Linked DNA regions of Alligator mississippiensis. The protein of the gene in region 1 interacts with the protein of each later gene in a pairwise test. Links are inferred from orthologs where the notes say so. Each region holds a gene or a part of one and is shown in the gene's direction. Other genes may lie near its edges. The genes, in order: SYT6, ZBTB43, DVL3 and KCTD9.

The links.
Region 2: the proteins of SYT6 (region 1) and ZBTB43 interact in binary tests that used the Homo sapiens proteins (3 or more experiments, as listed by UniProt). The two-hybrid records come from large-scale screens. The link is inferred for Alligator mississippiensis from reciprocal best matches to the Homo sapiens genes SYT6 and ZBTB43.
Region 3: the proteins of SYT6 (region 1) and DVL3 interact in binary tests that used the Homo sapiens proteins (3 or more experiments, as listed by UniProt). The two-hybrid records come from large-scale screens. The link is inferred for Alligator mississippiensis from reciprocal best matches to the Homo sapiens genes SYT6 and DVL3.
Region 4: the proteins of SYT6 (region 1) and KCTD9 interact in binary tests that used the Homo sapiens proteins (3 or more experiments, as listed by UniProt). The two-hybrid records come from large-scale screens. The link is inferred for Alligator mississippiensis from reciprocal best matches to the Homo sapiens genes SYT6 and KCTD9.

What each region holds. Positions count from the first base shown.
Region 1 is NC_081837.1:45,532,137-45,539,591, reverse strand, and holds the start of SYT6 (synaptotagmin-6), read left to right. Parts: upstream 1-4,436; coding exon 4,437-4,590; intron 4,591-7,455.
Region 2 is NC_081835.1:67,433,176-67,440,889, forward strand, and holds the start of ZBTB43 (zinc finger and BTB domain-containing protein 43), read left to right. Parts: upstream 1-4,702; 5' UTR 4,703-4,826; intron 4,827-5,185; 5' UTR 5,186-5,206; coding exon 5,207-5,304; exon of another isoform or gene 5,305-5,343; intron 5,344-7,714. UniProt on the Homo sapiens protein: May be involved in transcriptional regulation.
Region 3 is NC_081830.1:83,882,412-83,889,678, reverse strand, and holds the start of DVL3 (segment polarity protein dishevelled homolog DVL-3), read left to right. Parts: upstream 1-4,248; 5' UTR 4,249-4,319; coding exon 4,320-4,486; intron 4,487-7,267. UniProt on the Homo sapiens protein: Involved in the signal transduction pathway mediated by multiple Wnt genes.
Region 4 is NC_081830.1:23,111,452-23,118,437, reverse strand, and holds the start of KCTD9 (BTB/POZ domain-containing protein KCTD9), read left to right. Parts: upstream 1-3,977; 5' UTR 3,978-4,034; coding exon 4,035-4,082; intron 4,083-6,986. Other genes in the region: CDCA2 (cell division cycle-associated protein 2), read right to left, coding at 1-495. UniProt on the Homo sapiens protein: Substrate-specific adapter of a BCR (BTB-CUL3-RBX1) E3 ubiquitin-protein ligase complex, which mediates the ubiquitination of target proteins, leading to their degradation by the proteasome.

The sequences.
Region 1 (7,455 bases):
GAGGGAGGAGTCTCCCGTTTCCATAAACTGGGCTTTAACCCCTACACCTCCGCGGGTACTAAACCACGCCAGAAGAGCAGTTATCCCCGGAAGCGCTTAAGGAAAACTGCCTTCATGGACCCAGATTCGTGGTGTTTCTCCTGCCAGAGAGGGTTTTCTGGAGGCCTCCTGTTAGGAGACGTCTGTGACCTACCATCAGCACGAGGCGGTGACCAGCCGGGGCCAGCGCAGCGGAGGCGGCCAGCAAGCAGGGCGTGCTGCTGTGTCCGTGCTAGCGGCCCTGCTCAGGCCATGGCCGAGTGCCACGAGAGGCTTTGCTGGTAGCAGGTGCAATGCACCCCCTCTCCTGCCCCTGCCCCTGCCCCTGTCACCGCCCCTCGCAGTGAGAGCCTTGCCCTGGCCACGGCCCTGCGCCAAGTGCCGTGCGACTCGCTGCACCCCGCAGGCGGGTGCCTGGGGTGGGCGTGTTGGCCTCAGGGCTGCTATGGCCAGGCTTTGTCGCTGCTCCTCGTGCCCCCGCCTGGCCTGTGGGCTCCTGATGAAGCTGCTGGGCATGGCTGGTGTCTGTCAGGAAGCCCCAGGGGAGGACCAAGGGGCTCGCTGGGGCGCATAGGGGAGTGTGCGCAGTTGCTGCTCTGGAGAGCCCAGGGCATGCAGGGGGCTGCGGTCGGCACTGGCAGCGTGAGGCATCAGTGGCTCCCGCGGCGGGTATCGTGCTGTGGCAGGGGGGCTTCTGCCAACTCCTCCCGGGCTGTGCAGGGCCTGTGGCTGGGGTGCCCAGCGCAGAGCCCGAGGGGAGGCTGGCGGGCACTGGCCCGACAGCTGGCCGTGCGGCAGTGGAGAGCTGCGGGCTCCTTGACCAGGCTGGGCCCAGCCCCCGTCGCAGGGCACGGACACGTGCACTCACTCCTTGGTGAAGCGCGCCGTCTGCACGCTTGGACAGTGTCTCCCTTTGGCGGCAGGTGCTCTGAAGCTGCCACGCGGCTGGGCTTGGGCTGAGCCATTGCCGAGCCTCCGTGCCGGAGCCCGTGCAGCCCAGGGAGCTGAAGGGGCAGCTGACGTGCAAGGGGGGAAGCAGGACATGGGCGTGAGGCCCTTCTGTGCGGTGACAACGGCGCTGGTGATTTATTACCCGGGAGCACCAGAGCCATTCAGGCACCAGTCGCAGCTGCGCCGTAGCATAACAGACACAGGGAGTGAATCAACAGCTGCTCACACCTAATTAACAATGCTTCTTGTAAAATAAACGGCGGGGAGCAGCAGTGCCCTAACTACTGACACCGGCGCCAAGCGGGGGGCTGTACTCATCCCGTCTGGGTAGGCGCTGCTTCGCGTGGCAGCGTGCTTGCAGATGAGCGGAGCCACGTAACGGGAATCTCAGCAGATGTGAGGTGTGCTGCTTCATTGAGAAGAAACCCCAGCAGCCCCCGCCCCCCCGGCGTCCTGGGTGCAGGCACAGCTCTGCCTGCGTGGCTCTTGCCGCGCAGACGCCCGTACCCACCTGTCCTGCAGCAAGAACTAGGCGCGCTCCAGGGTGACGTGACGGGTTTTCTTGCCAGCTTTTCCCCCGGGGGCTATAAAAGACCTGCGGAGTCTCTTGGCCCTGCTCCTACCCAGCACTTCCACCCCGGCCTGCGCTCAGAGGCACTTTTACAGTGAGGCTTGTTGGAGCCGTATCGTGGAGATGGCACCAAAGGCACAGGTCAAGAGCCTGGATGGGGCCTGTGCTGGGATCTGCGGCCCCCAGGAGCTGCGAAGCGTTGCCTTCTCTCGGGCGCGGGTCCATTAACTCACACCGTGTGCTGAGCCAGAGACAATGACTGGCCCTGGGCCCCCCGCCCCTTCTCACCTCTCCCCGCTCCAGGCCGCGGGAGTGGGAGGCTGGAGGCAGGGGCTGGCGGGAGCTGAGCTTGGCTCTGCCAGTGCTTCCCTCCGCCCAAGTGCCTTGATCTCTCTGCACCCCTGCTCCCCATAAGCGCGAGGCCGGCGGTGGGTGCTGCGTGGAGGCGTCCCTGGAGCGAGGCACCCTGCGCTGCAGGCCCTGGGTGCTTGTGCAAAGCGCCAGGGCGGTCCCGGGTGCCTCCCTGCCAGGAAGCCTCCTTTGTATTTAACTCTGAACACACGGGCATTGAATTAGGGAGCGGTTCCTCATCCAGGGCTGGCTGACAGCGCCCGGCCTGCTCTCGGCAGAGTGCATCAGCAGGTCGTTAGCCCGGCGCTGCTCCGGCCAAGCCTGGCTTCAGGACCAGCAACAGCCTCTGCTCGGCCCGCCCAGGCAGGACTGCGGCCGAGCCGGGGCGGAGCTGCCAGGTGGTGCGGGTGGCTCCGGCTACGGGCCCGTCTGCATGCAGGGGCTCTGCACAGCCCGCCCCGTGCTTCGCCCGCTGCCCCTGGGCTGCGCGGACCTGGCCGGGCCCAGCTGCCCTGCCCTGGCCGGCGAGGAGGGAGCTCGGCCCCCGGGCTGGGTCCTGCAGCGCGGAGCCTGGTGGAGCCCGGCGCGGGGAGTGGCCAGGGCTGTCCCCGGCTGCTGCCCGCCTGCCCACGGTGCCCATGGCCTGCGAGCCCCAGCCCTGCGTGCCCCGGGCCCTGGTGACGGAGCCACGGCCAGGCTGGGCTCTGGGCACCTTGCCACAGCCGGGCTGTGCCCGCAGGCTGGGCTGGGCAGAGCTGGGGCAGGCTCGGGCCTCCTTCCACCCCCTGCCCAAGGCCTGTCCCCGCCGTGCACCGACGGCCCGTGGCAGACGGCGCGGCCTTGGCCCACCGGCGCACAAAGGCGGTGTCCGAGGGGCCTGGCGCAGATGGCAGAGCAGTGCTGCCCAAGGGCCAGGATCAGAGCAGCCTTGCTCCCGAAGCAGCCTGGATCCTTTGGAGCTGTGTCCAATGATCCTATTAATTGAAAGCATGGAGGCACTAGCCCTCTCGGCCCAGCTGGCCTGAACAAATACAGCTCTCCCCTCTGCAGGCTGCTTGGCTTCAGGCACTGGGCCTCCAACGGCACCGACTCTGAAGCCAAGCAAACGCGGGGCTGCCTGAAGAGCTCTGCTGTGACAGGGACACGTGCGGTCACAAGCTGCGGAGGGAACCAGCTGGATCACACGTGAAAGCCACGGACACGTTGCCCCGGCTGGTTCCTTAAGCTCGGGAACCTGGCACCAGATCTCTTCAACGTGTTAGGCTGGGCCCGGGCTGCTAGAGGCGTCGCGATGCCCGTGAGCCCACGGCTCGGGGTGGCTTGTGCGCTGCTGTTCCTGGGCCCCGGCGGTCTCTGTGCAGCCGCAGCGCGGGGCGTTTTAGCCATGCTTTGGCCCCATCCCATGAGTGTTTGGTGTCCCCGCTGTCCCCAAGCTCCCGGCAGGCTGTTCCCCTCCCTGTTATGTCACATCACACATGCTGTTAATTAAAGAGCCACTGGAGCCAAATCAGTCCATCTCTGCAGCTGAAGCAACGATTTCTTGCAAGTAAGCGCTGTAATAGCCCAGTGGCCTGCTCCTGCTGGCCTGCCGGGCTCTGCTCTGGAAATGAAGGTCAATAATTAACCCGGGTGACTCTAGGTTTGACGCTGACGACTGGATGTCAGCGCTGATGAAATTAGAGCAACTTTCCCATTTCCAGACACTAAATGTCGCCACTGATCTCCGCTGGCACGAGCTCTGCCTGTTTCTGTTTCCTGAGCTGCGCCGGGTGCTCGGACTGTCTTCCGGGCCCGGCGCTGCTCCTGGGGCCAGACACCGGGGCCAAGCGTCCAGGGTGCCAGGAGGGCGAGGGCAGCTCCGGCCCCTCCCCGCCCCAGGGCCAGGGCCGGCCGAGAGCCTGCAGCCAGGTGCTGTGCCAGGCTCCCCGGCAGCGTGTGCCCGCGGGGGGAGCGCGCCGGGGCGGCGGCCGTCCGCTGCCAGCCTGGGCGCTCCGCCGCCTGCCCCGAGCACGGCTCGTGTGGCACGGAACCGCGTGGGGGAGACCCGCGCACGGCTCGGGCAGCGCCGGCCTGCGGGCACCGGGCTGCTCCTTCCTGCGGCGGGCAGGCAGCGGCGGGCCCCGGCCGCCGGGCAGCAGTCCAGGGCCCGGGCCCTGCTCGTGCCGCTGCCCGGCCCTGGCAGCCTCCGGCGGGGCGGGCGCGGGGGCGCGCACGTGTCAGGTCCCCGGGCAGGCCGCCGGGGTCGGGGATGCCGCCCTGCTGTCATGGAGGCCGGGCTTTGGGGAGGCGCCGCGCTCAGCGAGGCCCGGGGCAGCCCCGCGCCCGCACCCCCGCGCCGCCCGCAGCCGGAGCCGGAGCCGGCGCCTTCCCAGGCCGGCGGGCAGGAGCGGGGCAGCTGCGTGCCCGCCCGTGTGACCGCCCCTGGGCCCCGGGGGCGCGGGGCGGGGAGGGGCGGGGCGGGGCGGGCGGTCCCGGCTCTACATAGGGCCGGATCGCGGGCGGGCGGCGGGATGCGGCGCGGGCGATGAGCGCGGCGGGCGCGGACGGGCGGTGCCCGCGGGCGCTGCGGCTCCTGGCCGAGCTGTGCCGCGCGCGGAGCCTGCCCGGCCTCGACGGGGACACGTGCCGCGACGTGCTGCGCCTGCCCGCCGACCGGAGCCTCAGCCTCGCGCAGCCAGGTACGGCCGCCCGCCGCCCGCCGCCCCAGCCGGCTCCGGGGCGCGAGACTGCGCGGCCCCCGCCTCGCCCTGCCCTGCCCTGCCCTGCCCGCCGCCGGCACCGGCACCGGCACCGGCACCGGCACTGCCACGCGGGAGGCGGGTGCTGGCCGTGCTGCGCCGGGCCGGGCGCGCAGCCCCCGAGGGCCGGCCGGCAAGCTGCGGCCGGTGCCGCGCTGCTGCAGCCGCCCGCGAGCTGCCCTGGGCCGGGCCGGGCCGGGCCGGGCCGGGTGCTGAGACGCGTCCGCGGAGCTCCCGGCTGCAGGACGTGGCCAGCCCGGGCGCGGGCCGATTACCGCAGATAAGGCGTTTAGAGGGATAGTGAGACAATCCCGAGTTACTTTAGAGAGGATGAAAAGCTTAGAAGGGATATTGCGCTTCATGGCTGAAGGACTAAGCCGGCCAGGAGCTGCTGCGAGCTGGGGGCACACCACTCCCAGGAGCAGGAGCAGGAGCAGGCAGGTGTGTTCATCAAGCCCCTCTGCGCTGCCTGGTGCTGGCCCCAGGAGAGGAGACGGGCCTCTGGGGACACGGTGCTGGGGCCATGCCCTGCGCGCTCGCGCCCGTCTGGACACCCTGGACGCCATCTCCCCAGCACAGCGCCGCGGGGCCCAGGCGGGCAGCCCTAGGTGAACTGCGAGTCGGACCAAGCCCCAGGCGCAGCCTCGTGCGTTCGTGGGAGTGTGGAGGCAGCAGCTGCCACAGGACTTCGGAGGGGCTCCCTGTTGTCACAGAGCTAACGGCGACCCGCTCTCCCCCCAGGTCTGTTGAGCCTTTCCTCCCCTGGGCTTGATCTGGGGTAGATGTTACACAGATTACTAAGTGCTTGAACACGGTCGGTATCTCTTGTGGACAGACGGGAAACAAATGCTTCCCCGGCCAGACTCCTGGGTGCTTCTGCACACCTCTGCGTGTCTCTGGCTCTGTCGGGAGGGGGATTTGGGACTCGTGTCAGGAGCCATCAGAGAGCAGCGTTTGCTGGGGAAAGCTGCCGTTAGACAGAAGCTGCCCCCTTGTCCTGGCCCTGCCGACGGCCAGGCAGCGTGGGTACAGCACTGGCGCGCAGCGTGCGGCGCGGAGGAGCTGGCAGCGCGTGGGGGTCGCGCGCAGCGATCTGTTGTGACGGAGCCTGGGGCTGGGTGTGAGCGGGGCTCCCAGGCATCGCAGCAGAGGCTCTTCGGTCCCGTCCCGTCCCCTCCCGCGCCGTTAGGGGTATGCACCGCTCCCCCTGGCAGGGAAGGAGGCTGTGCGCCTGTGGCCTTGTCTCGGCGTCTGGGCAGTGTTGTGGAGGGGGCAGGCTGCTGCTGGCCCAGGCTCTGCCCAGGACAACTGAGGGGTTTGGTCGGGGAGGCGGCTGGTGCTGGCAGGGCAGGGAGGCAGGTGCAGGCAGGTGAGCTGCTTACCTGAAGCCTGGCCCGGGGCAATGCCAGGAGCAGAGGCCCGATCCCTGTGCAGCTGGCAGTGCGTGTGTTTTCGCCTTGCTGGTCTCTGGTCCCCGGCTGCTCCATCTGGGCATGTTTTGCCTGCCAGTCCCACGCCGCTGTGCGGTGAGGCTGTGCACTGCTACGCAGCAAACCTGGCTTCTCCCCAGGGGTGGCTGCCCCGAAGGAGCGGCAGGAACCAGTCCTGCGTTAGTCGTGCGTCTGTCACAGTCCAGAGAGCAGCTCTGTTGCCCACCACCAGTGCCATGCGTCGGTGCACTCGCTGCAGCAGGTCGTGTAGCCACCCTGCGAAATGCTGATTGTCCCGACGGCTGGCTGGCAGTGCCAGTCAGGACCTGCAAGAGGGCAGAGGCCGGGCCCTCCCGGGGCTCCAGTGTGGGCACACTGGCAGTGCGCACCGCGGTCAGAGCAGGGCGCCCGTGCAGGCTGCGGTGGTCTGTGCGCCCCTGCTGCAGGCAGGCTGTGGCCTGGATGGACAGGTGCACGCGGAGCGGACAAGAACTGTCTATTGATTTCCCATTATGTGACTGCAGCTGGCTGTGCAATCTGGGCGCGTCACACGATGCTGTAGCAGCTGCGTTGAACAAGTGCAGGGTCTGATCCTGAGAGGTGCCAACCTTACGTGTCCCAGGGCTTGCCCAGCACCCGGCAGGCTCTGCCCCGCAGGGACTGAGTCAGCCGGGAGATGCAGGCCGGGGACTGCATCCATCTCTGGAGCTTCTTGCTCGCTGCAGCCGGTGCCCTCGGCACCACGACCCCACGGGAACCCTCTCGCACTCAAACCCCTCTAGGTCCCTGCATCCAGGCAACATCTACATCTTCTCTTTGTGTAACGTCTCTGCAGCAATCAAAAACAAGCAGCAGGCAGGACCCCGCCGTGCTCAGGGGCTGCATCTTTCTGCAGTAACGGGGCCAGGATCAGTGCAGAGCGCAGGACGGAGGAGGGAGCTGCCAGGTCAGTGCATTCGCCCCAGGAGCCAGGGCTGCAGAGGCCTCTTCCAGGCTGACCCACTTGGCCTCCCGTGGCCAGGCTGGACTCTGGCTCTCACATTTAGTCCTGGCTGCCAGGTCCACAGCTGGTTGTCTTTCTGAAGTATGAAAACCAGACCCCAGGGCCCTCAGGAAATGAATGGCCTTTGCAGTCTGAAGGGAACCGGCTCTCCTGCAGAATTAGGATCACTTGGCTTTGGACTGAGTCACACTAATGACTCATTGCTAATGCCCTGTGGAAGCCGCTTCCAAGGCCCTGGGGTGTTCCCTGTGGCAGGGCCGTGAGCTGGAGGGAGGCTGCCAGCCAGCTCCGTAGGGGCGGGGTGAGGAAATGCCCAGACGAGGTGCAGCCTTGGGACAGCCTTCCCCGTTCCCAGCGCAGGGAGCCTGAGCC
Region 2 (7,714 bases), on another chromosome or scaffold:
AAAATAAAGATAAAATTAAAATAAATTGCTTTTTCACTAAAATGCACATAGATGTTTTCTGGTTGTTATACAATTATTACTTATTCATTAAATAACAGACTTCCTAAAATGACCAGGAGCTGTAGTAGATAGTTGTGGTGAAGTTATGAGACCCTATTAGTGACAGAGCATGGACTAGGTTAGGAAAGAAGTTGCCCTAGCTTTCAGCACCATCTACTGTTTTACAAAAGACAGACAACTATTTCAGTTGTATCAACACCTTCCCTGACCTCCCAGTCAAAGTAACCTCGGTGCCCATTTCACCCTGAGACCTTCAGACAATGTTGTTAAGTATTTCATATGGCTTCAGCTTAGTTTCAAGCGTGGCACACTCAGGAAGGGGCCCTTGCCTTTAGAATGTTTTCCCTCTTGGTCCAAAAGAACCAGTTTGACAACTGCCTAGATCTGCTGAAATGCCAACCATTAACTCAAGCTTTTCTTGCAGTGTGCAGTTGACTAGAGAGGTCTTTCTTCTCCTAGCACAGAAAACATCTGCAGCGTCACTGGTACCACGTCAGTGCTATACACTTAAAATGAGGTACAGTTAGAAACATGGGATCTTTTGGGCTGGGGGCAAGGGGGACCCAAAAGCTTCTGTACAGTATTAAAATTTTGTATCTGCCCCCAAATCAGTGATTTCCTCAAAATGCCAAAACATGTGATTAAATACAAACAGCGAGCAAGCACAAAAGGTCTCTTTCTCTCTGGACAACCCCATTAAAAGCTTCTGGAAATAAAACCTGTAAAATTGCTTTAACAAAGAGGTCAACAAACCTAAATTTTCAATCTTTCTACCTGTAGGTTACTAGCTGAAGCCCAGTCTGCCAGTTAGGAGTTTACCATGATAGAGATCTCGATTTGCCATAAAAATAAATCCACTATTCTGATAGCCACTATTTAGTATCCTTGAAGGAATGAAGCCAAGGACTGAAAGTGTAGTTGAAACCAGAATCTCTTCTCACCTCCAAGGGGTCAGAGCATCTTGACAATGCAATGTTGGAAAATTATTCAGCCATTGTTCGTGGTGCACCTCCTCTACAAATTCTCCAAGACTGGTAACTCTTTAACTTACAGAGATGCATTGCATTTAGAAAGTGTAAAGTCTAAATGAATGTGATATTTTATTTGTATCAAACATCATTAAAACCCTCCCAACTTACCTTTCACCAACAGCAATGGCCCTCATCTTGTTTAAATCAGGGGCTTTACACAGGTAAAGCAGCAGCAAACTATTTTAGGGCTGCATTCCCAAGTACACTGTAGCAAGAAACTAGTCTCTATTCATAGGACTTGTTTTATGTAGTCTAAAAGGCAAGAAAGATTAGGTTAAAGTCTCTCAGAAAGCTAACCAAACAGCAACCTCTCTCATTTAAGACAGTGTCTGAAAATAAATTAATGACTTTTTGTTTTGAAGGTTTAATTCCTTATTGGAATAGTCAGTCCTCTACAGTCAAGATACAATCTAACTAAACTAACAGTTATGAACTAGCTTAATGTGCCAGCATGAAAACACCATCATAAATGCCACAGGCTTGTTTGGACAGTTCAAAGTAAGTCTTTGATCTATTTTCAGCCTATAAATTGTTCCTGTGGAATCCCATCGTATTTTGTGGAAGTTCTTGTATGTGCTTGCCATACAACCAAACCAGTAGTCTCAAGGCAACGTTTCATTGTCACGTAGTAGGTCTAGGCACATGCCCTTTACTCACTCTCTTCATCACCAAGCAAGCAGACCTGTGCAATACTGTTGAGACAGCACAGTTAATTCCCAAGCCAGCATCTACTATTGCTCTCTAGTGTCTCTTTGTTGACATTGCATACAACACTGCTGGCAGTTTCAGAGAAATAAAAGTAGGGAAAACATAGGAAATTTCCCAGTGAACTACTGCAAAGGAAAACCATAACTCCCAAATGAAGCTGGAACTGAAAAACTAAGAGTTAAGGTGAAGCAATTTTGATAACTGTCTTGGCTATTAAACATGTTGCTTAATATAAAAGTTGGTTCAATGTCAATAAGCTGCTCACTATCTCCAAACTTTTCTGTGTTTAATTTTGTATTAAATTCAGTTTTTGAATCATAAATGTAGAGAAATTAACTACAGGACCAGAGCCTCCTGATCCCTTCATCACAGGGAATTTTCTTCAGAACCCAAATGGTTTTAAATAGTTAAAACGGTGTGTACTATGAGAAATCATGTGATATATATATTGGGGGGGGGGGGTTAAAATACCATTTAAATTTCAGTCCACAATGATAACAGCTGGTAGAAATTAACTGCTGTCTTCTCTGTTAGATCCACCTTTCTCTTCAGACCACATAGTTTGAACATCTCTTAGCTAGGTTCTCTCAGACAAAATGATCAGTATTGTTGAGGGATAGCAGTTACTCTGGCCACTTTACTTCTCCCATCACCAAGCCCTTATTTTATATGACACTGCCAAAGAAGCCTCTTCCACCAGGCCCCCAGATGCTTAGTGTTATGAAAGACTATATGTGAAACTGCATCTATGCATTTAAACTGCCGTCAAAAAATCTGCCCAGCTATAGCCAAATTAAAAGTTTAAATTAGATCTTTTCTGTCCAGCATGCATCTGAGAATTTTGTCCTCCTCTATCCTGTTATTTATAATAGCAGCACAAGTAGCAGCTCTCTATCACCCACTAAGACTTAACAAGGGCACTCCTTGACAAAAGTTACTGGTAGATTGGCCAGAGGTATAACAGGATTTTCACTAGCTCCATCCTTTTTCCTGTGTAGTGCCCAAATGACAACTTACTACAGTCAGAAACTATTAGCTCCAACCTTGATTTCCCACTCTCACTAATGCACAGGCAATAATCTCTTCTTACAAAGGCTATGACTGACCACAAAGATGCCGGCTTGGGAGAACCCAGCAATGTAGTACTGGTTTCTAAGGGCCCCAGCAAACAAGCGACACACACACATCCCCCATTCCTCCAAGGCTGGCAAACTGACTTGCAGAACTGCTGACACATCATGCCCAGGAGATATTTGCCAAGCTAAGAAACATAAAACAAATCATTACTCTTCCTGCTTTGTCTCAACTCCTACACTTTTCTTGTACCCCACCTCCTGACATACATGTGCTTTTCTCTTCTTCATGCCTCCTTTCACTGAAAAGGCAGCTGAAGTGAATAGCAGCCCTGGTCTTGAGAGAGAGTAAGGGACACCTGGTAGAGTCCACCAGGCAATCCTGAATGAGCAGGACAACTGCATCTCCACGGCTCCAAGACAGACACAGCTGGTGCCCACTGCGCAGTTTCACCTGCTCCCTTCCCATGGCCCGCAGAGACACAGACCAGTGCCTTCGGACCAGCCTGTTAACCGTCTGTTTCCTTAACTCTGCTGGGTTGGTCTTTCTAGATCTAAAAAGAATCCTAAAACGATAAACCTGCTCCAAATCACATGCTGACAAAGAAAAATGAAACAGTTTAATGAAAGTAGGATGAAGCCTGAAATTTTTCAAGATGTTTCATGTATAACGAGCAATTAAGGTCTGGCCAAACAAGCATTTCTCCCTCGCCAATATGTAAATGAGACCCCACCGAATATGCCACCACTCACTGGTTCGGAAACCTATAACGCGGTCTTATTAGCAGGGTGTTTCTGGACTGCGCGTTCACCTTGGACTCTACTTCCGGAGCAGAGACCAAAGGGAATGGCTCTCGGCTGTCAGGAAATCAGCGGAGAGTCTCCGTTTCAGCAACCGGTCTGAAAAATGTAACCACCTTTTATTTAATAGTGCAGGGAAGAGACATTTGTGAAGCTATTTCCTCCTTAACGTGCTTGAAAGTCTACAGAAAACAGTTTAATAGTTATAATAGGCAAGTATTAAAACACAGCCCAAACGGGTCGACACCTCCCTGCTTCAAGGCGTTAGCAAACCACGACAGGGGCGGTAGAAGGAGGAAACTTTCTTTGCAACCAAGTTATTCCACAATTGCCCCCAGGAGGATTTCTTTCTGCGACGGACGGCTCCCCGGCAGCGCCGCAGCCTGGAGGGGACAGCCACTGCCAGCAAGCCTGGCCGGCAAGGCCTTCTCCGGGCCAGCGGCGCACACGGTCAGGACGGCGGGGACTAGGCTTTGACACACGACGACCTCGCTCCCTTCACGAGGCTCTAGGGACAGCCGCCAGGTCAGGAGAGGCCTGCTGCTCCTGGGAGCGGCGGAGCCCGCACACCTCCCCCTCCACCGCACCCACAACGAGCCCGTGCGCTCAGGACCGTACAAGCAATACGGAAACAAATGCCTTTCCTGAGGCGAGGGAGGCCGGATTATTCACCCTACTGCTGCAGAAGCGAACACGCACCCAGCGGGATCTGCTCCATGGAGCCACTTTTAAAGCAGCTTTTAAGAAGGCGCTGCCGCACGGCGCTCGCTCCACGCGGGTACCGCAGCCCCTTGCGCCCCGCGCCTGATCCCGCGCAGGTGCGGGGCTCGCCTGAGGGGCGAGGAGACGGTTGGTCCCGCAGCCCCGCCCCTCCCCCGCGGGCGCCCCGCCCCGCCCCGCCCCGCCCCGCCCCGCCGCCTTCGAGCGTTCGCGGAGCACGCGCTCGGCTCGGCTCGACTCCGCCCCGTCCCGCCCCGCCCCCCGTAACGTCAGGCAGGCCGGGTCCGCGCCTGCGCCCTGCGCCCGGAAGCGGAGCGCTGATGCCACGTGACCCGGAAGCGGAAGAGCTTGGTGCTGCCGGACGGGGTCGGCGAGTGGCGGCGGGAGCGGAAGCGTCTGCGGACCCCGCGCCCGCGATGTGAGACCCGCGCAGGTGAGCGCCGGACCGCGGCTTGCCGTGGCTGAGGCCGAGGCCCGTGGCGGCGGGGAGCGCCGGGGACAGTGCGGCGGTTAGCGGGCTGGGCCTTGGCCTCTTCCCCCGGGCCGGGCCCTGCGTCGCCCAGCCCGAGCCGGGAGCCTGAAGCCGCCGCGGGCCCGCCTCGCCCGGGCCTCCCTCAGGCGGGTGCCATGTCCGGGCGGGAGGTGGCCGTGCCGGGGTGCCCGTGTCCGGCAGCGCGGCCAAGCCGGCGGGCAGCGGGAGCGGGGGGGGGGGGGAAACGCTGGCTTGAAGCTGCCCTCGCGCCACCCGCGTCTGGCAAGCGAATGGCTTTTGTCTTTGGATGTGGTTGGCAGAGGCCGTGAAGGGAGCCGCGCATGCATCGGAAGGACGGCGTCGCCCGCTGCGCCCGACCCGCCGGGAACATGCCGACAGAACAGCCCGCGAGCAGCGCGCGTCCAGCCACGGTTCACAGGTCATCTCCCCTTCCACATCTGGGCTTCTGGTAACGCAGGTGAAGAAGGGCTTGGACAGCACGTGCGGGGCTCGCTGCCCCGCTCGTGTAAAGCGCTTGTCTTTCATGTCAGTTGCCCACATAAAAGAAACCAGTAATCCTGCCTAGAAATATTATGCCACAGGAAATATGTGGATTTAGCGTGGTGTCTCCTCGAGTTTCAGTTGTACGCTGTGGAGAGGTGGTAGTTCAAGCCAAATGTTATTTCAGTGCACTTAACTGCAATTAGCGTAGCACTACTAGAAAGGAAAAAAAAGTGATTGCCAGCAAATGGTTGCATGGGAAGTTATTCCAAAATATGGGAATGTTTGGCGAAGAATTAACAACTTCCTCCTAGTGTAAGAAGAGATACAAAAACGTCATGACTTACGCATTGAGCTTGCGCATTAACATAATTGTCCATTATAGTATTAGTGACGAGCTGCCCTTGTGTGTTCTTGTTGCATGATTCAGCAATGCCAAGAATAATTTACACGTGACTGCACTGTTTCTGCATCCATGCAGCTCGCTTTGCGGGACCAGCTGTCGTAGGCTGCATAGCTTGCGTGCATACATACGTACTTAGCGTACGCTGCGAGTCGGTGATTCTCAACCAGGGTGATGCGAGATCTTTTGAAGGGTGCTTTGAGTTGTGCTGAGATAAGCAGGTGCGAGGGAATAAGTGCAGGTTCAGGCCTGCCCCTGCCAGGCCCCTTTGCAAGAAAGTAAGCACTGTAATAAAGGCGTATTTTAAAACAGGGTGCCACTCAATTCACACAAGTTCTGGAGGAGTGTCTCCAGGGGTGTCTTGAGTCTAAAAAGGTTGAGAATCATTGATGTAAGTACTTAATTTGTTTAGCTGTGTAGCAATGCCAGTCCTAATGTTTTGCTTATTGTTGTATGTGACAAGAACCATAAACAGATATCAGTTGTGTATGTTGGTCAAGTAGGCAGCATATTTCAGCTCTACCGTCTGCTTTAACTTAATTATATTCAAGGTAGTGCATGCTGAATATGACTGTAATTGTTCTCATTTCAACTACACCTGATACAGTGGAGAGAAAGGAGCCGTCACAGAGGCTGCTCTTGGAAGCCTTGCAGATGAAGGGAGGTAGTCGGTTCCCTGGTTCCTAGTCAGCTTCAGGACCGCTCTCCCTTCATTTCTGAGTTTTCTAGTAGCATCCGCTAAGCTGCTTATTAGAAGCTTTAAAGAGGACAAATGCTAGTCAGTTTTTCTGCTAATACTACAGTGCTATTAGCAACGCTGGTTAAGTCTCAAGTGCTGCAAATGCTGTGTACTCAGTGAGGTTTGTTTGCTTTAAGTGCATGCTCAGGGTAAGTGCACAACCTTTTTCGTACCAAAGCTGTGTGCTTAGAGGGAGTGTGCTGTATTTGCAAGCTGAAATTCTTGCAGTGGGGCTGGGTTTCTTTTACCTGGGATGGTGCTGTCTGAGAAAAGGCCTAAAGAAAGGGAGGCTCTTTCTGAAATGGGTTGTTGTGTTCATGTAAAGGAGGAACAGTTTGTAAAAAGTGAGCAAGGCTGAAAGAAGGTGAATGAAACTAGCTGGGGTTAAAGGTGCTGTCATTCTAATTGCCTGGTTCCTAATTCATAGTAGGGCTGTCTTTAGAAATGTGTAAGCCAGTTTGACTTCATGGGAGGGCTTCAGAAATAACCTCCCTTCTAATAAGGGATCTTTTAAAATGTGATACTGTCTATTAATATATATGGTGGTAATTCAGGAAGTCAGCCACTCAGCACTTTGATTGGCTCATACTTCAGATTGGCTAGAATGCAAATTGAGCATAATTTTCCATCATGATGGGCTAAAATTGATCAGTCATTTTCTGCAAAGGAGGAAATGTAATGATGTTGCTTTTTAATTCTTAATATAGAGATTCCAGATATTTATAGGACTGCATTTTGAAAATATCACACACTGTACAAATGGACATCTTACTCTGGCGTTCTCTATTGGATCAAGCAGTTCATAGGGGACTGGTCTCTTTTGGATTTTTGTGAGTGCAGTTGGCAAATTGCTTAACCAGAAGGCAGATACTAGTCTGATGTATTAAAGTGGTGCCTTATTAGGCCACTTTAGGCCTAAGAATTTCCACTAAAAATGACTTTTACCTAGCATCTTAAATCTTATTAAACTGTCTTTAATAAAACATTTATTAAGCCTGACAATAGCCTGTGAAATAGGGTATTAGGGTTTCCACCTGTGAAATGGTCCACCTGTGAAATGGTACATCTGACCATGGTCACACAGTGCCAGACTGATTTTTTTTTTTAAGCTATAAAGCCATCCCTTAATGGCAGGTTTAAGCGATGTATCTGGGGTTGCATGAGAAACTACCCTTTGTAAACCTTGTATTAATTTTCAGGAAAGAG
Region 3 (7,267 bases), on another chromosome or scaffold:
AGGCGCTGGTGGAGGGTGGGAATGCTGCCTCTTACACACGAGCACTGGGAAGGGGTGATCTTTGAGCGCTCAGCATATCTAGACTGTGCCTGAAGGCCCTTGGTTTCTGACACTGGAACGCAGTCTTGTAAACGTCGGGAAAATAGTCGGTATCTGAACTTTCTGTATCTGCCAATATTTAATTCAGGGAGCGATTAAAACCATCCTGGTATAAAGAATCAGCTGTTTGAGTATGTGTCTCTGAGCGTGGCATTACCTGTGAGTTCTGCTCTGATCTTGCTGGCTATAGACTTCTCCATAATAACCCATAGCTACCTTATTTCTCAGGAGTCCCCTGTGGTTCAGTGGTAGAATCCTTGTCTACCGCACAGGAGACCTGGGTTCAATTCCTAGATGCTCATGCAACTACAGTCATGGAGGCACCAAACATCTGGTCTTTGGATTTTGTCTCAGTGGCCTGAAGGGAGGATGGAAGGTCTGGGCAACCTCCACTCTTCCAAAAAAAATTCCTGCCCAAGCATATGCATCGAAGACCTGGGTGGCCCTCATGCATACACTGTGAATCCCGGAGGATCAACAGTTGCCACTTTATTTTTCAAAACGATCCAAAGTTGTGCTTATAACAGGCATAAAATGAGCACGCCGGTGGCATGGGGTAGGTGTTCAATCCTATCCAGCAGTGTTACCATTAGGAATTGCAAACGAGCTCACCCAGTTGAAACTCCGGCACTTTAGATTCCTGCAGTGGGTGAGGCTCCTGTTTATTCAGAACAAGTTAAAAGGATGTGCTTTAATCCTGGCCGAAGCATGATCCTCCCTGCCATACTGCGCATTAAAGTATGTCGTACGCCATACCCTGCTGGGGAAGAGGTGGGTAACAAACCCCTTTTTCAAAAGTGTTTACCAGCCAGCTGCGCGATTCAGGAGTTTGAAAATCTCCCTGGACATCTTGAGTATTTTTTAATTTTTTTTTTACAGGGTAAAGAAGGTTAAAAAGAAGGTTTCGTCTGTAATTCCGTAACTGGCTTGTTTTGGCCAGAGCCTCTGGAGTCTTTGTGCCAAGAAACAAACAATTCTGCTTTCTGTGTGTTCTGCATTCCACAGCCTGAGGTCTCTGCTCTCAAGTGGCCAAGATCTCCGTGTTGTGAGCCACCATCTGACCCGAGGGTTGCAGGCACATACCTAAGGTAGAGGTTCAAAGGGCTAAGAATGTCGCTACGTGAGGAAGCTTTGTCCTTCCCCCCAGAGTCTCTTCTGCATGGGGTCCCCCCCCTCCCACCGTGGCAATCTCTGGCTACGTTGCTCAGAACAGAGACCAAGTAGCATATTTGACACCCTCCAAGCCAGAGCTGTGGTGTGTTAAAATGGCTCAATGGCACATAAACATGTGTGTGTCTAGATGTATATAGACATACGTGTGTGCATCTATAGACACCTCTCTCTGTGTGCGTATGGAGAGTTGATGACAGCATTGAAGAGCGGGACAGGCCCAATGATCTGTATGGCTGATTCGGAAGTGAGTCGGATGGATGCAAACAGTGCTTTGGAGGAAGAAGCCTTGACACTGCAGTGAAACGTGCTGGGGTTTTTTTAAGACCAATGTGAGTGGTGGATCCCTGAGGGTTTTTTTAAGGCCAAAAGAGGCCAGTGCAGTCATCTAGTCTGACAGCCCATCTACAACAGATCAGAACTGACCTGCTGGGTCCTGTATCAGGCCCATGATTTCTGCTTGAAAGACAACGTATGTTTTAGACGGACATCCCTGCTTCGTTTAAAGAATTAAGTGCTGGAGCCTAAGCCTATTCACCTCACTGCATCTGGGACTGGGCTGAGCAGGTTTTTGTGCTGTGCTAAACATTTCATAGATTTTGTACATATCAGGGCTGGAAGGGACCTTGCGAGACTGTGGGGTCCAACCCCCCTGCCCAAGGGGAAGGAAGTCAACTGGGCTCAAATGATCTGAAATGCCTGAACCTAGCCTATAGCTGAGTGTAACGGCAGAAGCGGTCGTGCTCGGTGGTGCTGCAACATTTCTTAATGCAGGTACAAAGCTACAGCAGCGATTCTCCAGCGGGGTGTTGCAGCACCGGGGTACCTTGAGATCCTTGGAAGGTGGCGTGCCGTGCGATATTAGCGTTGGTGTGCAGACATGATTCACAAAATAGAGGTAGCAAACCGTGGTGGTCTGAAGTCAGGCAAAAGGCAGGATAGAGATGCACTTCATAGACTGACTAAACCGGAGTTGCATAAGCTTTCGTGAGTCAGCTCAGACTCGCACAAGCTTATGCATCTCCTGTTTAGTGTGTAAGGTGCATCCCTGCCCTGCCTTCACAGGATGAATGCAGAGATTTCAGATAGGAATTCATAATGTTGACACCACGCTGGCCTCGTGTGTCCGTTCTGAGTTCTTAGCAACAGAAAAACTGCACTTCTGTTTTTCCACAGTCAAAAAAAAAAGTGAAAACTAAAAACTGGCATTTTCTGAGGGGTGTCGGGGGTCTAAAAAGAGTGAGAACCACTGTCCGGTTGCATGGGGCTGCTTCGCCTAATCCTTTCCTGCCGGTTTCGTTGGCTCCTATCTCGGTGACTTTGCAAGACTTGCGGGCAGCGGAGTCTCTCTCTGTATTGGCTCTGTATTTAAGCACTCAAAAGCCACTGCCGTTGCATCTTGGTTAAGGATGCAACTTTCAGGGTTTTCGGTTGTAGTCGTGTTGGTCTAAGGACGCAGGCAGGCAAGGTTCATTGAGTGGATGTGATATCTTTTGTTGGAAAGAAGTTCTTTGCAAACTTTCAGGCACAAACACCCTTCTTCAGGCACGGGGGGCTCTGCTGGTCTGAGATCTCCAAGGAGTGAAAGTAGCTAAAAGCGTAACAGGATGTCAGTACGAGATTGCAAATAGGTGGGAATTACAATCCCGTACTGACATCCCGTCACACTTTTAGCTTCTTTCACTCCTTGGACATCTCAGACCTGCAGTCTCCCTCTGCCTGTTCTTTGCAAGCTTTTGGGTACCAACACCCTTCTTCAGGCACAGGGAGACCGCTGTTGTTTTGAGATCTCCAAGGAAATGCAAGCTTCTGCACTGGGGTGATGGAGGCGAGCCAAAAGCCTGTGGCTGTCACATTGCCTGCCTTGCACCCAACTGCCCAGGCCCTGCTGGAAGGCACCGTGCAAGCCTGGGACAATGAAAGACTTGCTCTCTAGCTAGCAATAAAGGCTTCCAACGGGGCAGTGAAGTTTCCCCGCCTGTGCTGTGCACACGGAAGATCAGCCGTGGGATGAAAACGTCTCCTACTTGTCAGCAACCCCTCGATTCAAGGATGCTCACCGCCGTGGTTCGCTGGTGGGTCTTGAGGCAACTTGAGTTCAGTCATTGAGTGGCAGACCTGTCTACAGGAGCCGCTGGCTTTTCTGTTGGAGACAGTAGGCTGTAGGCCACAATTTCTCTCCTTTCCCTTCTGCTTTTTTCTCTGCTTCAAGGGCAGGACGCTTTACCTCGACACGGGCAGCCGCTCGGTTGAGGTTGCCGCGCCATGGGAGTCCCTCAGCAGCCAGCTCCTCCCGGGTCTTGATGTCGGCATGTTTTCTTGAGGTCCCTCTTCAGCGTGTCCTTGTGGCGTTTCCTCCGGCCGCCCCGACATCTCAGGCTGTTAGCGCTCGTTGCGGGAGTCGGTGCACATTCGCAAACCGTGTCCAGCTTGAGGGTCACGGGCAACACGGGCTTCGGCGAGGATGATGCATGCCGCGCTCTTCACGTCCACGGCGGGCATCTTCGTGTTGTGTCGGATGTGGGGGATCTTCGCGTTGTGTTGGCAGTGGGCGATGGTCGCGTTGTGTTGGAAGTGGGGGATTGTCGTGTGGTGTTGGCAGTGGGGGATTGTTGTCGTGCTGCGGGTGGGGACCTCCGTGCTGTGCGGGAGGTGGCGGACCGTGGTGTGGTGTGGTGTCGCGGCGGTGGAGGATGGTGGCGCCGGGCGGGTGGCGGGTGCCCTTCGTGTTGCGCGGGAGGTGGCGGATCGTGGGGTCGCGTCGCGTCGCGTGGGAGGATGGCGGGTGGGTGGAGGCCCTTGTCGCCGCGTGGCGGCGGGGCGGGGCGGGGCGGCGGCCGGCGGCGGCGGGGAACAAAGCGAGTCCGGCGCGGGGCTGGGGGCGGCGCTGCAGGCCCGGCGGGCGCGGGTGGGAGCGAGGGCCGGCGCGGCCGCTCGTGCTGGTCCCGCCCCGCGGAGGAGGCGGGGGAGGCGGAGCCGCGGCCGGAGCTTGCGCGGCGCCGGGAGCCGGGGCCGGAGCCCGAGCCGGGCCGGGCCGGGCCGGGGGCGCCATGGCGGCGGCCGAGACGAAGATCATCTACCACCTGGACGAGCAGGAGACGCCCTACCTGGTGAAGCTGCCGATCCCGGCCGAGCGCGTCACGCTGGGCGACTTCAAGGGGCTGCTGAACCGGCCCAACTACAAGTTCTACTTCAAGTCCATGGACGACGATTTCGGGTGAGCCCGAGCGGCCCGCGAACAAAGCCCGGGGCTGCGGCCTGTCCCGGCGGGGCCGGGCCTGCGGGCGCTGCGCATCCAGGACCCCGAGAAGCCGCCTCACTTCGCTGGCGGGGTCTCGCTCGGTGGCATCTCGGCGGCCCCAATCCCCGAGGGGCCGCGCTCCGCCACGGTGGCACGACCCCCGCGCGCGGGGCTGGCCGCGGCCCGTCCTGTGGGGTCGCCGTGAAGCCCCCCCTAAAGCGAGGGCAGCGGTAGACAGCGGGTGTGGGGAAGGGGCAGGCGGGTGGAGGTCCTGCTCTCCTTCAGCAGCTCGGGACACGCGCCGTGGCTTCGTAACGCGGCAGGGGAAATACCGTGCGTGTGCGTCTGCGTCCCCGACCCGGCCCGCGTGGCTCGGTAGCCGCCGGGCTGCAGGGGTTACGGGCGCGGGAGTCTCGTCCCCGGGGCCGCGCGGCTGCGGGCGAGCATCGAACCCCGCGCCTGCGGGCTTGGGCCTGCGCGTAGGACGCCCGCCAGAGGATTTGGGAACGTGTGAAGCCCCGGGTGCGGGCGGAGGATGTTTGCCGGTAGCAGGGACACGTCTCGCGTTTGGAATTAGCCTGGGCTGATTTGGCCGGTGATACAAATTAAATTAAAAAAAAAAATAATAGCTTCACGGATGGTCTAGAAAAGGAGGCATATGGCAGATGAATGAAATTTGCAGGTGAAGCAAAACTGGAAGGAGCTGCAGAAACCAGGGAGGGCAGGGAAACGAGACGGAGACTCGGCAAGATTAGGAACGGGCAGAAAACAATGAAATCGGATCCGGCATGGGCAAACGCAGATAATGCATCTGGGGAAAATAACCTTAACCCCTGGTCCTCCCAGAGAGGGAGAGAGTCAAGGAGCAGGCACGGATGAGGGGCACCAAGGCAGTGAGCGGCGCATCAGATGACGTCTGCGGTGTGATCTGGGTGGACTAAAGCGGGCAGTGTGGTTTTGTCCAGGTATCGCAGGCATGGAGGAAAGCCATGGTGGTCTGGAGCCGGGAGGGGAAGCTCCACCTGGAGGGGTGCATTTTGGAAACGAGCTGTGCAGAACAGAAGACCTACTCATTCAGAGAAGCGACAGGGGAACAAGCGGGGCAGAAGGAGACCGCCAGACCCATGCACCTGTGGGATCGTTTCCAGGGAGGGGGTGGGAACCCTCTTGCTTGAGGAGGTTTGGTGGCTAGCGGTGAAAAGCAAAACCAGAAACCATTGGGGACCAGTCTTGCGTTGGACTATGGAGAGCTAGAACTGAAGGGGTCTTCCTTCCCCAACCTAGATGGGGAGGCAGGATCATAACGTTTTGCGGAGATCTCGCAGCGACATTAAGAGTCGCTGCGGGAGTCACGGTGTATCTGCATGCGGTTGCAGCGCTTCGGTTCTTGCCGGGCAGTCTGCTGCTTTCCCCGAAGTGCCCCCTTCCCCAGCACCGCGTGGAGGGAGAACGTGGGAAAACGTCTCGAAAGGTGTTTGCGTCGAGGACCCCTTTGAGCAGCTGCAACGTTTCGTCCACCTGGAGGTCCCGTGGCAGCTGCCCGGAGAGAAAGTAGAAACTTTGGCCACTGATTTGAGAGCAAAGCTCCCCCAAACCTCGTGTGGGACGAGGCTGAGTTCTCTGCAGATCCATCGCTCGGGATGGAGGCGTTTTACCTTCTCCCAGAGGCAGCTTTTATCTGCTATAATAGAGCCCTGGCCTTTCTTCCCCAGTCCTCGGCCTGGGTCTGATTAATTATCTTGCCTTTCTCACTTTTCTCCAGGCTGGACAACTGGTCTGGTGTTCCTTTGGGAGCTCCCGTCAGCTCTTCCCATGCCCAGGGAGGCAGCGCGGCCGCCATCGCAGCCCGTGGGCTTTCCTTGCTGTTTCTCTCGTCCGTATTTGTTGGCTGCGAGAATCAGGGTAACAGCGATGCTGCTTCAGGCTTTACGTTTCCTTAGAAATATGCGCCAAGGCTTTGTTGAGTGTGGGGTGCGAGGCTGCTCAGGAAGCTAACGCTAGTCAAAGGGAAGGGTGCTCAGCCTTGACCCGTGGACCCCAAAGTGGTGTCTCTTGTAGAAAAGAAACCCAAGAAAACAATTGCCTGATAAACTGTGGGGAGGGGAGGTTTAAATAGAGAGGAGACGATGTGTTTCTTGAGCCCATCAGCGTGGCGTAAACGTGATTGTTCCCTGCCTGTTACCAAACTGTGGGGCAATGGCAGCAAGTCGTGGTGGAGTGGGTGTGAGCCCAGCGATCTGGTTTGCAGACTTTGTCTGCGTCTTCAGGAGTTGAATGACACTGCTCTCGGGTGTCCCCAGTGCTCCTGCCGGTCAGGGGGAGGATGGTCTTGGGGTGAAAGCACTAGGCTGGGGCTCATGCGGCCTGGGTCCCATTCCCAGCTCTGCTATACCTCTCCCAGGTGACTCCCTTTCTTGACCACTTAATTTCTCAATTCCTCTTCTATAAAATGGGACTTCAAGTACTTATTTTCTCCCATCTATTCCCTGAAGTCCTTAGACGGGTGGTTTTCAGCCTTTGCAGACTCGAGGCACCCTCTGGAAATTCCAGCTCTTCATTTTCAATCTTTTTTTTTGCCTAAAGAAAAATAATAAAGCAGTTTTTATGTTGCAAAGAACAGAGACAGCCCACAACTGCGGGTTTCAATTTGAAATCGCTGGGTTTATCTTGTGAATCATGTTTATAAACCTAACCGTGCTAACGTGGTATGGCACCCTGCCGCATCCTTGAAAGGTACCCAAGGGAGAATCGCTGTCT
Region 4 (6,986 bases), on another chromosome or scaffold:
GAAGTCAGCTACTGTTACAGTCGCAAAATCAACAGGTTTTTGCGTTCGTTTTTCTGATGGTCCAGAAATAGTATTTACTTCGGTAAGTGTCAGATAGTTTGCATTACCCACAGAGGTAGGTCCACTTTTTGAAGGACTATCCCATTTGCTCAGTGTCATGCAGGGAATGGTGGGTTCAACAGACTGATTTCCTTTTAGTGAATCAGAAAGATTTCCAATAAGTTGATAGCTATTATTGTTGCTCCTCTGGTCTGATTCTCTTAGTACATATGTGTCACTTATCATACTGGCTTTCTGCACAAACTTCTTCTGACTCTTGGTGCTTACATTTTGCATTTCAGAAAGTTTTGTGGCTTTTGATACATCCACTGTACCAATCTTCTCTTGATTTGAAACAGCCATGGAACAGGCCTCTCCATCTTCTTCATTAAGTTCGCTTATATTTTCTTTGTCTTCCCAGACAGCATTTAACATTTGGCTAAATGATCTACGCATTGTCACTGCTGTGTTGCAAGCGTCCAGAAAAATAGAATCAGCCTTGTCTTCTTACAATCATGGCTCCTTACCAGTAAGAAAGGAACCACTGGTAATAGCAATGGTTTTTGTAATAGATGATTCTGAACTGCTAATACAGGCAGATGTTGCAAGATTTTATTAAAAAACGTGGCTGGCCTTCCTGTTGAAGGAAAAATGCAGCATTAACTATATTATATGCATGTAGTACTACAAAATTTGTGTATCGTTATAACAAAAAAATCCATGCCCATACGACATGATGGCAGAAATTTCCAAGTCATAAATCAGGATTATTACAGGCTATGTTCTTTGGAACCAATCTTAAATCTTACCCCTTGTACTCTGTACAACGTAATTTGCATAAATGTCACATGGCAGTAATTTTAATATTTTACTAGAGCAATCACAGCTCTGTGATGGGAGTGTCATTACTCTGGGACCTTACTTTTGCGAATTTAAGACCACAACCAACATATTTTGCACTTAGTTTCCTTGGTTAAAAATAAATTATATAAAACTAAATACATATCACAGTGGAGTGCTGAAGCCTAATTTAGTGCAATGATCTACCCTTAATATAATACACGTTTATTTTGATATAGGACATGTAACTTTCACATTCTATTAAAAACTGAAACATAACTGGAAACAAAATTTTCAGCACGTAGATACTAAGAACTGACTCATGTACACATTTTGCCACCAGAATTAGTGGCTTGCTTTTACAGAAGGCTCCCAGTGACCCAAGATCCACTTATTCTCAACCAGCAGCACTGCTGCTGCACTCATTGCAACCTGTATTAATTCCAGATGTTCCATTATTCTTTCCAAAGGCTAGGATTTCTTAGGGTGATAGCTTTTCTTGGACCAATTACATATGTATTTAATTTTCCTTTCAGGCATTTGGTACCAGCAATTTCCAGAGTACAGATAAGATGCACCACTGGCTTTGTCTGACATAACACTTCCTGTACTCTCACCTACAAACAGCTGGGTACCTGCCTGACATCTGATACCTCAGGTAACCTGCCTCTAGCTGACCACTTGCATTCCTGCACACATTTCCCTTGCTTCCCCCCTCCTATCTCTACCTGTTGTCTTCCAAACTTCCATTTATTTGCATTTTCACAGACTTATCATTTAGCTTCTTTTCAACCTTGGAGAACAAATATAACAGCCAAGGTTGCCAGTGTATAATAAGCAGAATTCAGCTTTTTTTTTTTTTTTAAAGTTGCTTTAAATTTTTTGAGTTGGTTTGCGGTTTTTTTGGGTGTGTTTTATTTGGAGGTCACTTATTTTGGTTAGTTATAGTTCAGGAGTGGGTAAAGTGGTGGATCCAGCCAGTGTTTCCCAGTAGCTCCTGCCAGTGTGGCTGGGGCCACTTTCCATGCAGACCCCAGCAACAGCCACACTTAGATAGCATGTGGCCAGGGTTTCCATGGAGACCAGCCCCAACAGCCCTGGCAGGGCATGCGGCAGGGCCCGGAGCTGCTCTGCAGCTGGGCTGGGATCTTGTGGCAGTGACACCATGGTCTGGAAGCGAGGCAGAGCCATGATCTGCAGCCTGCATGCCCCAAGCAAGGGTGTGCAGGCAGCGGATCATGGCTCTGCCCCGGCTCCTTGAAGCAGTGTTAGCGTGATCCAGAGCCGCGATCTGCTGCCTACATACCCTACCAGGGGTGGTGCTAGGAAGGAACTGGAGGGGGGGGGGGATACACTATCACAACCTCCCCTCCAGGAAGAGGTTGGCACTGCTGCTGCTTGCCAGTGCTGCTAAATGTGTAACTTAATATTATATGCAGCAAAACTAGAACTACTGAAAAAATATGGAATTTATACAAGCACCCCCACTCCCCTCTCTTTGAAATGGGTCGGGCTTGATGTTAAAGGCAGTCCTGCTTCTTTTTCCTTGGGAGACTTAGCAACACTAATAGCAGCAGCAGCAGCAGTCTCCCAATGCCTGGTTTGTGCCCAAAAGCTTGCCAAGACCTTTTCCCTCCCATTTAGCTGGTCTAATAAAAGATATCACATTTACCCAAAGAACCTTGCCTATGTCCTTCGACCAACATGGCTACAACCAACAGCCCTGCAACAAGTGTATCCAGTATTTAAGTTGGTCTGATAAGATACCAAATTTACCTAAGGAATCTTGTCTGCCTGCAGGTATCAGGATAGTCTTTTGGTTCCAGCTGTTATCTTTTATTAGACCACCTTGGAGGTGGGCTGGTTTCTAGCAAGCTTTTGGGTAACACAGTATCCTTTTTCAAGCCAAGTGGAGCACAGGAGGGGGTGACCCCCCTGTGTATCATATAGCCCCAGACCAATATGGCTGACCCCAAAAGAAAACTCCAATATGGGCATCTGGAGGCATGTTTCCCCTTGGGTAATTAGTGGGGGTCTTTTTTTGTGTTTATTTCTAAAAACTTCCGTAGCATTTTAGGAGAGTGAGTTTGTGCGTAGGACTCCCAACCCGCGAGGGATGACGGCCCATGCATCCACTGCCTTTCTGCCCCCTGGCTCCAGAAGGGATCAGAAGAGCTGCCCATGCCGCGCACCCGAGCCAACACCAAGCAACGCGCCCGCATCACTGCCGCTCGCTTCTGGCGGGAAGCCATAGACTCAGCGTGAAAGCAACCGGCGTGTGGGCAGGGAAAGGTGGGATGTGGCGGCAGAGTGACCTCACGGATGGGCTCGGTGACAAGCGTGCAGGGCCAAGAGCGGCCGCCCCGGGCCTACGGTGCGCGCACCCGGTTCCGCCATCGCCCCGACCCCACCGCTCCAATTCCCGCAACGCCGGGACAGAGGCTCGGGCCGGGGCCACGGCCCACGCAGGAAAGGGGTCGCCCGGCCCGGCCCCAGGGCGGGAGGCCCCCCCGCAGCGCCCCGCGCTCACCCCGTCCTCGCGCCGCCCCCTTCGCCGCCAGAAACGCTGCTCTGCTCCCGCCGCCCGCGTTCAAACTGCCACAGCACCGCGTGTCCTTCCGCGCCGCGCCCGCCCCCCCACAACACCACGCCCGCCCGCCGGCCCACCGCCGCAGCCCAGAAGCGGAGAAGCCACACGGAGAAGCCAGGCGGCCCCTCACGGGACAGCGGGGCTCACACCGGGGCCGCAGGACTCTCGCCCGCGAAGAGTCCCAGCAGCGCGGAGGAAGCGCGAATTTTTGAAACTAGGGCGTGTGAAACCCAGGGGAGCACCCACGTGATAGCTCCCCCCCAATCAGAAGGTCCAGGTCTCGCTGGAGTCCCGCCTTTATGTAAATAGCCCGCTTTCCTCTCTTGCCGATTGGCCAGCACCGAGGGACGTTCTCCAACGGCTCCCCTTCCAGCCGCTCTGATTGGTTCACATCGACACCTCGCCCCCGCCGTGGAGCGAAACCCTGGTCCTAGCAACAATGGTCCCGCCCTTCCCTAGTTCCTATTGGACAACGCGGCCGGGAAGCTAGGGCTTGGATGCCTTCCCGGCGCTGCCAGTCACAGAGCCCAACTTCCGGGTGAGGAGCGGCGACGGCGTCGGGAGCATGCGGAGGGTGACCCTGTTCGTCAATGGCAGCCCCAGGAACGGGAAGGTGGGGGCGGAGCGCACAGACGTGCTGCGAATCGCGGCGGGCGGGCGCGGGCGGAGCGGGGCGGGGGTGAAGTTCGAGGGCGCGGCGGGGTCGGGCGGGGGACGCCCGGTGGCAGAGTGCATGGAGCGGGCACACCCACACCCGCGGCCTGCGGGCTCCTACCACTGCACGGAGCCGCGGGCCGCACCGGTCCGGAGCAGCTGGGCAGGTTACCGGTGGCAGGAGCGGGAAGGCAGGGAGCGGGCGCCAGGGCCTTGCACACACTGCTGGGCTGCGTGGCAGGAGCTTCGGTGCGCCCTGAAAAGAGAAAAAGTGGCCTTTACTCGGCCTGGGGGCGGGGCTGGTCCTAATCTATCACATCTGTGGTCAGATGTCTCCCCTGGTACAGCTGTTGCGACCCTCACCCAGCCATTAAACTTCATGACAAAAAAACAGCGAAGTGTCCGTGTCCGGATCCTGTACCCATGTCTCTCACAGCAGAGAGCGGGAAGGCGCTTTCAGTCTGCCCCGACAACCCAGGCCCTTGCTTTTCTTGTTTCCTGTCTCCATGACACTCCCGCTTTTCTTCTGAATAGAAAGGAAGTGCAAATCTTTATATTTTAATGCAATCATTTAAAAAAAAGTTACTCTTTTTCCTTCTTACTAGAGTGGCTTGCTTGCTGAAAGTTGGGTGCGTCTCACTAAGGAAATATTAGCATTTCTGTCTCTTCTGGTATCTCTTGTGTAATGGGCACCACTCTGCACTGTGTATTCCCTGGGTTTTGTCATATGGATTGAGACGGACCTACGCTTTCATTTAAAACGCAGGGGCAGGACAGACTTGGACAAGCTTGCACTAACGCCCATCTGTATGTTTGTTGTCTGGATGAAGGATTCAGTAGTTTTAATCAAGCACACATAGACTGATAAAAGATTTGAGGAGATCCCATCCCACCCTTTACTGGTCATCTTTATTACAGTGTATTTTTGCTACCCTGTAAGTCTGTAACTTTCACTGGCATTAGTGGGAGTAGGATAGAGCACATGAGTCAGCAGCGTACGTAATGTTATATGCTGACCTTTTAACTTGAGAGGATGTATGCAGGTGAGAGGGAGAAAAGACTTCAAAAAATGGTGCTAAAAACTTCTTGCCCGAGTTGCATTTCAGTGAAGTTAGTCACCGTCACACTCACTAAATACAGGTCCTGCTCAATCTAGGCAACCGTGGCATACGTGTCAGTTGAAGTCTACAGACTGTTTGTGGGTATTTTTGCACCAAATAGCCATCTAAGGCTATATTGAACATGAGTCTGAAATTGAACACGGGGAGAATGGCTCAGTCACTGCATACCTATTAACCAATAGGTATCTTAACTGAATGTGATCCCTCTTTGCTGTCCTCCTTGGACCCGTATTGCTTGATTTCTGTAATGAACATGAGCATCATTTTAGTCTTTAATTGTAGAAATAGAAAGGATTTTTAAAAAGGCCTGAAACTAAGCAAATAAGTAGTGTTTCACTGTAAAACAGTTGCTACATAATACATTTGCCAGGACTAGTTATTCTTTCACTGCTGTTGTCAATGAAGCAAATCGAATCCTGCTGTAAAGAAGCAAGTCATTCAGCTTCAACAGCTCATTTACACTGGGGCTGATTTTTGGCTTGTCATGCACTGGAAACCCTTACTCACCTTCCAGCTCACAGTAGCCCTGGTTCGGTGGGAAAAATGAATGAAATGTTTTGCTTTCCCATGGAACCCTACTAGCCTTGGATAAACTGGCTGATAAGGGGATATTACAACAAGAAGGGCTTCTATATATAGTGCCATGCATCCAATACTCATTCTTTCAGCAGCAGTCTTTACATCTCCTTATTTTTAACATATGAATGAAAAAGTCTAATGCAGGTCATTCATTTTTTTGCCTCTCCACTGAAACCTTTTAAACAAATGGTTGCTTGTAAACATAGGGGACTGGACTTGGGCACAGGACTTCCAAGTCCTGTGTTTTTACACTGCATTAATGATTTACTTCCTATCCTCACCCTTAAATACTGTACTTGTCCTCTATCATGTTATTATTAGGGTGGCTTTTTATGGTCTGGGTCCAGAGACTATGAAATGTATCATAGACCTTCCCAAACTTTGGACAGTTTTCTGTCCCTTTTCCCCTCACTGTGTCTAGTAAAATTTGTCAGTATGGTGATTAAACCGTAGATAATTCAATGGCTTGAAATTAAGGCTGTTCTGCTTGCAATAGAATTGCTCCTTGCCTTGGAGAGTGTGCTGGGGCAGTGGGGTGGACAATGAAAAAAACCCTTCAGCTATAATAGTTGTAATAGTCAAATGCCTCTAAGGTTCTTGATTCCTTTTCCACTATTTGATGCTGTTGCTAGGATTTGTTAACAATAGCACCACCTGTGTAAATACTTGAAATAGGGAGAAAATTGGATCATTGTGGTTTCCTCAAGGTTTTTTAAATGTAGTATGTCTGCCAAAATCATAAAATGTATGCTGGATGCAGTTGGTGTGCTTATTGGTGAGGGCTACCTCAATAATTGTGTTGGGTTTTTTTGTGATGGCTGGCTTCAGAATATGCAGAGTAATTTAGCAAAAACAAATCAAAATTAAAAGAACTTGAGCAACAACAAGTATTTCATTTGTGTAACTATACCCTGGATTTCCAAAAATCTTGGCAAGTATAACAATTCACATGATCAGAGCGTTGCACAAATCGTAAATAGCAACGCGTTCTGGAGAGGTAGGAAAGTAATTCTTCCCATATTGTAGACATGACAAATAGAAGTACAGAAATTATTTGTGAGGGAAAACATAGAGCCCAAGGCAGGACTTCCAGTCATCCTTATCACTTTATTTAGGTCTCCTATTCCCAATCCCTAATTCATTTAAATTGGGAACATATCTTT